2 linked regions of the Danio rerio genome follow. The protein of the gene in region 1 interacts with the protein of each later gene in a biochemical or structural test. Links are inferred from orthologs where the notes say so. Each region holds a gene or a part of one and is shown in the gene's direction. Other genes may lie near its edges.

Region 1 (3,685 bases):
ATGGAAATCATGGCACGTTTTATGTTTAGGATTGTTTGATGAATAGAAAGCAGCTAACAGAAATAGCATTGCACATATCTTTAATGCCATATTTAAAAAGGCATCCTTTAAAAGAAACAGCCTTCTGATCAGCGGTGTGGACAGTGAGCGTGGTGTTCTGGGAAGCGCTCCGACTGCTGCAGCTCTATGTTTGGCACTTCTGCTTTTCATGCGCTGTTGAAAACATTTCCCAATCCGAAGCACACACCGCCTCCTGCTCTACACACTGACATCCTCTTAGTTTCTCTTCCTCTTGGCGCGTGCAGATGGGAGAAAGGTGTGTGTGAGAGACGGAACGACACCAGCACCTTGCATGCGTGTGTGACGAGGAGGAAGCAGAACGCAGAAAAGAGGAAGTGAGACGCGTTTGACAGGAAACAGGCTTGTGTGAAAATCCCTCATTCAAAGCGCAACCGAAGCCAGAGCTGCTTGATTTTATCCATCAGTTATTAATCATTATTAATCACATTAAGTTTTGTGCGTTATTATAAGCCGGTCTGTGACTAATAAATAAAAGTATATTAGAATTTTGCCAGTTGATCAATTATTACGTATATATTATATATCTATGTTTATATACAATTGTTTTATTATTAATAGTTTATAGAAATTCTGATTAATAATTACATAATTAGTTACATTTGATGATAGAAGATGGAATAAAGAGAATAAAAAGTGTATGTGTGCATGTGTCTGTGTGTGTATGTGCATGCAAGTTTGAGTATGTGTGTGGGTGTGTGTATACAAGTGTGTGTATGTGTGTGTGTGTGTGTCAGTGATCTGCATGATGGAGTGGTGAGAGTGTGAATGGCTGAAGTGCAGCAGAACAGAACGTTTCTCTCTGATCCTCCAGACAGAAATAGCAGCAGGATCTCGGCCAGCGGAAACCGTTATTAAGTCATTGAAGAGCTGCTGCTGCTGCTGCTGATTCTTTTCCTCCGCTGCGTCTCTGTAAATCAGCAGCAGCTGTGTGTTTGACTGAACGTGTGGAGACCAGTTTACCTTTACATTCCACATGACACAATACTACACTAATCTACAGTAAATACTCTAGTGTTTTCAGCCATACTTAAATGGCTCTATTGTGGAGATTCTACAGTTGCTATGGTAACACAAAAACTATAGTAATTAATCTGTTGTTGTGATTCTACAGTTGCTATGGTAACACAAAAAGCTATAGTAACTAATCTGCTGAGGTGATTCTACAGTTGCTATGGTAACACAAAAGCTATAGTAACTAATCTGTTGTGGTGATTCTACAGTTGCTATGGTAACACAAACTTTAATAAATTATCTGTTGTGGTGACTACAGTTGCTATGGTAACACAAAAAGGCTATAGTAACTAATGTGCTGAGGTGATTCTACAGTTGCTATGGTAACACAAAAGCTATAGTAACTAATCTGTTGTGGTGATTCTACAGTTGCTATGGTAACAAAAACTTTAATAAATTATCTGTTGTGGTGACTCTACAGTTGCTATGGTAACACAAAAACTTTAATAAATTATCTGTTGTGGTGATTCTACAGTTGCTATGGTAACACAAAAACTTTAGTAAATAACCTGTTGTGGTGATTCTACAGTTGCTATGGTAACAAACACTTTAGTAAATAATCTGTTGTGGTAATTCTACAGTTGCTATGGTAACACAAACACTTTAGTAAATAATCTGTTGTAGTGATTCTTCAGTTGCTATGGTAACACAAAAACTTGAATAATTAATCTGTTGTGGTGATTCTACAGTTGCTATGGTAACACAAACACTTTAGTAAGTAATCTGTTGTGGTAATTCTACAGTTGCTATGGTAACACAAACACTTTAGTAAATAATCTGTTGTGGTGATTCTACAGTTGCTATGGTAACACAAAAACTTTAATAATTAATCTGTTGTAGTGATTCTACAGTTGCTATGGTAACACAAACACTTTAGTAAATAATCTGTTGTGGTGATTCTACAGTTGCTATGGTAACACAAACACTTTAGTAAATAATCTGTTGTAGTAATTCTACAGTTGCTATAGTAACACAAACACTTTAGTAAATAATCTGTTGTGGTAATTCTACAGTTGCTATGGTAACACAAAAACTTTAATAATTAATCTGTTGTATTGATTCTACAGTTGCTATGGTAATGCAAGAACTAAGGTAATATAAACAAATCATCAATTATAGGGTGTGTTGTACTACAATACACCACAGTTTAATGTAGTAAAGACTAAAGTATACTACAGTATGCATTGTTGTTTATTTATGTGTTTATCAAAAAACACATCAATACACATATAAACACATGTATACACACACACACACACACACACGCATGTACGCGCACACACACACAGACAGAGAGTACGTGGACACACACATATATGCATACACACATACTGTACTTATATGCACACATATATGCTCATACCTACACATGTACACACACTCATATACACATACATATATACATATATATACATACATACATAAAACACACATACACACAGAGACAGAAACACACACAGACTCATTATTCTTTCTCTATTTTCTTCACAGCTTCACGATGTATTCACATTTATTTTTATTATTAGTATTTGGTCTTAAATTGAAAGTCTTGATTTCTGTACGGCATTCACAGTATGATCAACCTTTACCAGGCTTTTCTGTTACCAAGTGCTTTTAGTATTAGTCGGCAACATGTGTGTGTATTTATGTGTGTGTGTGTGTGTGTGTGTGTGTGTGTGTGTGTGTGTGTTTGTGTGTGTGTGTGTGTGTGTGTGTGTGTGTGTGTGTGTGTGTGTGTGTGTGTGTGTGTGTGAGCGGATGTTGAATGTGCCTCCAGCCTCCTCCAGTCATGTGTGTCTCCTGCTGCTGTGTGTTTGGTTCTGCCTGTTCTGGCTCTGGCAGCGCTTCATTCTCTGGCTCAACTTAAAACAGGCCACTTTCTCTCTTTCTCTGTCTCTCTCTCTCTCCCCTTTAGTCTGGAAGTCTGCAAGCCATCGGCAGCGTTCATTACACACTGTATTATTATTATTATGGAGCCTTTCCACTTTAGCTTGTTTCTCATCTTTGCTCATAGTTGGTGAACGCAGTGAATGCGAGAGCACAACAAATCTTTTCTTTACAATCCTATTTGCTGAAATAATGAAAGAGAAAGTCCAGGTTGGTGTTATCAAGAGCTTTTCTGAAGTCTTAGATGTGTGTTTTCAGACTCCCGGCAGATGCAGACGTCTCCATCCTGGTCGTATGAGCAGTCGTACCCATATCTGGGCCCGATCTCCACCCCAGCGGTCCACCCTACAACACCAATCTCACCCAACCGGACGGCTTTACACTGTGAGTTTACACATTCACACTTACTGCTTTATTCCTGTTTTTCAATATAGTTTCAGAGGTGACGTGGTGGCTCATGGGTCAGCACTGTGGCCTCACAGCACGAAGGTCGCTGGTTCAAGTCCCAGCTGGGCCAGTTGGCATTTCTGTCAATTGGATAAACTAAATTGGCCATAGTGAATGAGTGTGTGTGAATGAGTGTGTATGGGTATTTCCCAGTACTGGGTTACAGCTGGAAGGACATCCGCTGTGTAAAACATATGTTGGAATAGTTGGTGGTTCATTCCGCTGTGGCAACCCCTGATGATTAAAGGGACTAAACTGA
Region 2 (4,280 bases), about 13 Mb from region 1:
AAAAAAAAAAAAGTCCACTTTTGAAGAAAAAAAGAACCACCCCTTTCACCAAGTCTTTACCAGATCTGTAGCTACGACATATTTGCTGGAAATCTGTACTTTTCCAAATATTCTGAAAACTATTGATGCAAACTAAACTGCAGACAAATTTCAATAAAAGTCCGGTTTTAAGGTAATCTATAAATTGTGTGTATTCTATTATAAATTGATATACATATGTTTGGGGGCAGGGTTTTTATATTCAACTATTCTAATTTAAACATAGTTATGTCCCTCACATAAGATTCATTTTTATTTATTTTTTTATTTTCTGGCACAAACCACATTTTATAAAATGTAAAAACTGAAAAAAATATCTTGAACAATTTATTAGTAATTGTACAAATTTTAATAATAATAAAAAATAATATAATAATAATAATAATAATAATAATAATAATAATAAAATGAATAATAATAACAAAATGAATAATAATAAAATGAATAATATTAATTATAATAATTATAATAATAATAATTATTATAATAAAATGAATAATAATAACAAAATGAATAATAATAAAATGAATAATAATAATAATAATAATAATAATAATAATAATGATAGTAAAAATTATAATGATAAAAAATTATAATGCTAGTCATGTCATGTTAAATTTCACAGCTTCCGGCAGGGGATGCTGAAGCACCCTCAGCACACAATTACAAATATGTATTTGAATAAAGAAACTGATGTGTAGCCTATATGGCTAATATTTATGCTGTAAGTTTAAACAAATGTACACATCTACATATTTATATGTTTTAATTAATCACTCATAGTATAGTACATCCATGAGCTCAACATATTACATTATTGTATAAATGTTACTGTTAGTATTTTCTGCTAAAACATTTTATATGTTTCTGACGAAAAATGAAGAATGGTTATAAATATTGAAATTTGTTTCAGTTGTGTGATTTATAACAGCACGTGCCTTGCCACACACTTGCTTTCATTATTCCAGTGGTAAACATATAAAATTAATATTAGCTATCATTAGAGGCTTTTGTTTTTGTATTTTGTTTTGTTAAGGACCTAAAAACTTGCGGGTTTAAGTGTAAAACTTTTTATGACATGACTGTGCTTACAACACTACATATACTGCAATATTTTGAGAACAAAATAGGAATGATAAAGACCAAAATATAGCTAAAAGATTTAAATGGACATATCATTAATTATGAAAACAACACCAAATACACACTGTCTTTGATTATTTATTATTTCATTAAACATCGAGGCAGTAATTAACTTCTGAGGGTGTGGGCTCTCTCTCTCTCTCTCTCTCTTTCTCTTTCTCTTTATCTTCTTTCTCTTTCTCTCGGTCGGTGTCTTACTGCTATGATTCTGAGCTGGATACAGTCTGCAAACACAACATCGTGTCCTCTGTGCCTGATCATCATAGAGTCTGGTTTGACTTGCACTAGTGGGTAGTGCTGGAGGCCCATCATCATCATCATCATCATCAGTAGTCAGTGAACTAGTTCAGTGTGTCTGTTTGGAGAGACCCGTATATATGTGTATGTGATGATCAGGTGTGTTAGCGTTTAGCCGCTAACGACAACAGTCTGACGGGCTCTCACACACCACCGCGGCCAAACTCCATGTTTCTTATATCTGTGTAAACCAGACCTACTCAGAGCGTGGGTTTTATTCGGAAAATCAGCTTTTTAAGGTAAGAAATCTACTTTTATGCCACCCATACCCCGAAGAAGCATTAGCAGGGACTCTGCGGTTGTATTAGCTTAGCTCTGTGTAACGAAGCTAATGAGGCACTTTGCGGTGCTCTTTAGTTTCTCTTTGCAATATAAAGAGCATGCCTTAAATGTAGACAAGTATTTTTTTCTTTTATATGTTTAGAAGTGGCTGCATTTGTTGTGTTTCAGCTCGCATGTGTCGTCATTTTGCAGACTGGCTAAGCTAAATGCTAGCAGAGTTGACAACTATAACCATGTAACGTTACGCTGTTCATACATCTGTTTTCTTGTTAAAATGTGACTTTTTGTTTAAGTAAGGGGTTTTAAAATTAAATTAGCTTATGTGAGATTTATATTTTAGCTTTGTAATGTATCCACGGCAGTTGTGTCAGAGATGTTCGATGTTCACAAGGTTTATGCTCAAAAAAAGCTGTCTTTATTCCTTAATAGAGTACATCTATACTTTAAGTGTAGGTTTTCCTTTTAAGGGATTGAGATAACATCGGTTTGTGTTATTTCCTTTAGGGTTTATATTGTGACGCCCACTTATTTGGAGAGAGTAGTGCAGGATCAGGACTTTGTTGTAGTCACTGGTGTAAACAGTGATGTTACATGCACGCTTATGGTAAATGTCAGGATTGTATTTGCTGACATGTAATTGTTACTGTGAAATGCAGACAAGTCTGATAACGATCTTATAAGCAAGGCATTACTCTAGTGTTGAAATCATGCCACAAGCTTTTCTTCTACAATTTGATCAATTCCTTTGGCAAGGGGTGATTGACTATCTAGGCTACTGATCTTTACATATTGTACAATTGGGGTTGTAATGGTATTAAAAAGAACTGGTTTATTGTTAGCATATGTCCATTTAATAACCATGAGAGATAATTTTTGACCTCAATAATGTGTCAGAAAATACTGAAATTGACCTATTTCAAATATGAGTGCACCTCACTGAGTGGGCTTGACAAATCACCTGTAGAAAACACACTGTTTAATCTCTACCACTTTAACCAACACTTGCACCAGTTTTGCAAATTTGCACCAGACATATCTCTAGCAAAACACCATGCATTCATGAAGTGTGCTTCACACAGGTGAGTGGCAAACCACCTGTAGAAACATTCTTCACTCTATTCACTTTATTCTCGACGTTTGAGCAGGCACAATCTTTTTGGCTCGAGACTTCCGATCTCATTCACTTCCATCGATTTTTAGACATTAAAAACAGCTTGTTTTGCTGCCTGATGTTGCCAACTGATATTTGCTTATATTATTCTATTTTGTCTCTATAGCCATGCAAACACTTGTTTGTAGAGAGAGTAGTTTGACAGTTTCCTGTCGTTTATTATTCTTAGTAATTTCTCCCATTGGCAGCTGAATCGGAAGCTCTAAAACAATCGCAAAAACGAGCGCACTTCCGCATTGAAGAATAGGATCAGACTGCACGAACAAGTCTCCCATGTCACAGATCTCAGCTGTCATAAAGTCAGACTGAACTACAATGAGGATGCGACAAACATAAAAGAGAATGCTCCCGGAGTTTGACGTCATCGGCCCGGGATACTTTCACTATCCAACGCTGTGAAATTATTCTTCGCAGCAAACGTAAACTATCTGTAACGGCAATTTTGTGCACAGCTTGTCTCCATAATAAAACCAGAAAAAAATAAAAAAGTTTTGACGTTTTCCTGCTGTCAATTGAATTGTCGCATGGATTGCATCATCAAATTCGAAACTGCCATTGGTTCTTGGATTGACGCTCATTGCAGCTGTTGTCACACTGCAGAAAAGTGAAATCTGATCGCAACGGGCACCAAGCGGCTGTCAGTGAACATGTCAAACCAACAATCAAAGATTATCGATTTTCGCCTAGGATTTCAGAAATCATTTAGGATTTCCCAAATTAGTCTCAGATGACAAAATCATGGCTGAAATCTCACAGTGTGAGCAGGGTTTTACCCTAGCACTAACAGTTTCCTTGTATAATTAGCACTTCTTGGGTGTTGCCTTTTCTTCATGAATCACTGAATGCCTCCTCAATTGTAAGTCACTTTGGACAAAGGTTCTGCTGAATGACTAAATATAAATGTAATGCAAAATAAAATTAATAAATACTTTAGAAATTTTTGCCAGTGGTAGATAATGTTGACTATTCTTCTTAACAAATGTAAAAACTTTTGTATTACTACAGTGGCCGAGAAAGCTTAACGTGCTGCAATTTAAGAAAACACGTGCAAATTACAAAAAATGCCAGCGATTACATAAAAGATCTTTATCTGTTTGAAAGCATACATGTTGCAAATCATCACAATGCAATTAATAAAATGCACTGCATTTTCTCACAAAGCAAACATTTTATAAAAACGCTCTGCAAATGTTTCTTGGAGACCCTAAAATGTGACGGACCCGGCTATTTATGTTATGGTTATTTAGGCTAATAAATCCTAAAGACAAGGGAATCGGGATATTAAAATAAACAAATATCACCTACAGCTTCACTGAGGAAAATTCTCGGCATAGCAGTGTCCATCATG

Evidence for each region.
Region 2: the proteins of runx1 (region 1) and elf2b form a complex in vitro, tested with the Homo sapiens proteins (2 studies listed by BioGRID and IntAct). The link is inferred for Danio rerio from reciprocal best matches to the Homo sapiens genes RUNX1 and ELF2.

What each region holds. Positions count from the first base shown.
Region 1 is NC_133176.1:2,052,241-2,055,925, reverse strand, and holds part of runx1 (runt-related transcription factor 1), read left to right. Parts: intron 1-3,237; coding exon 3,238-3,363; intron 3,364-3,685.
Region 2 is NC_133176.1:15,381,688-15,385,967, reverse strand, and holds the start of elf2b (ETS-related transcription factor Elf-2b), read left to right. Parts: upstream 1-1,373; 5' UTR 1,374-1,718; intron 1,719-4,280. UniProt on the Homo sapiens protein: Isoform 1 transcriptionally activates the LYN and BLK promoters and acts synergistically with RUNX1 to transactivate the BLK promoter. Isoform 2 may function in repression of RUNX1-mediated transactivation.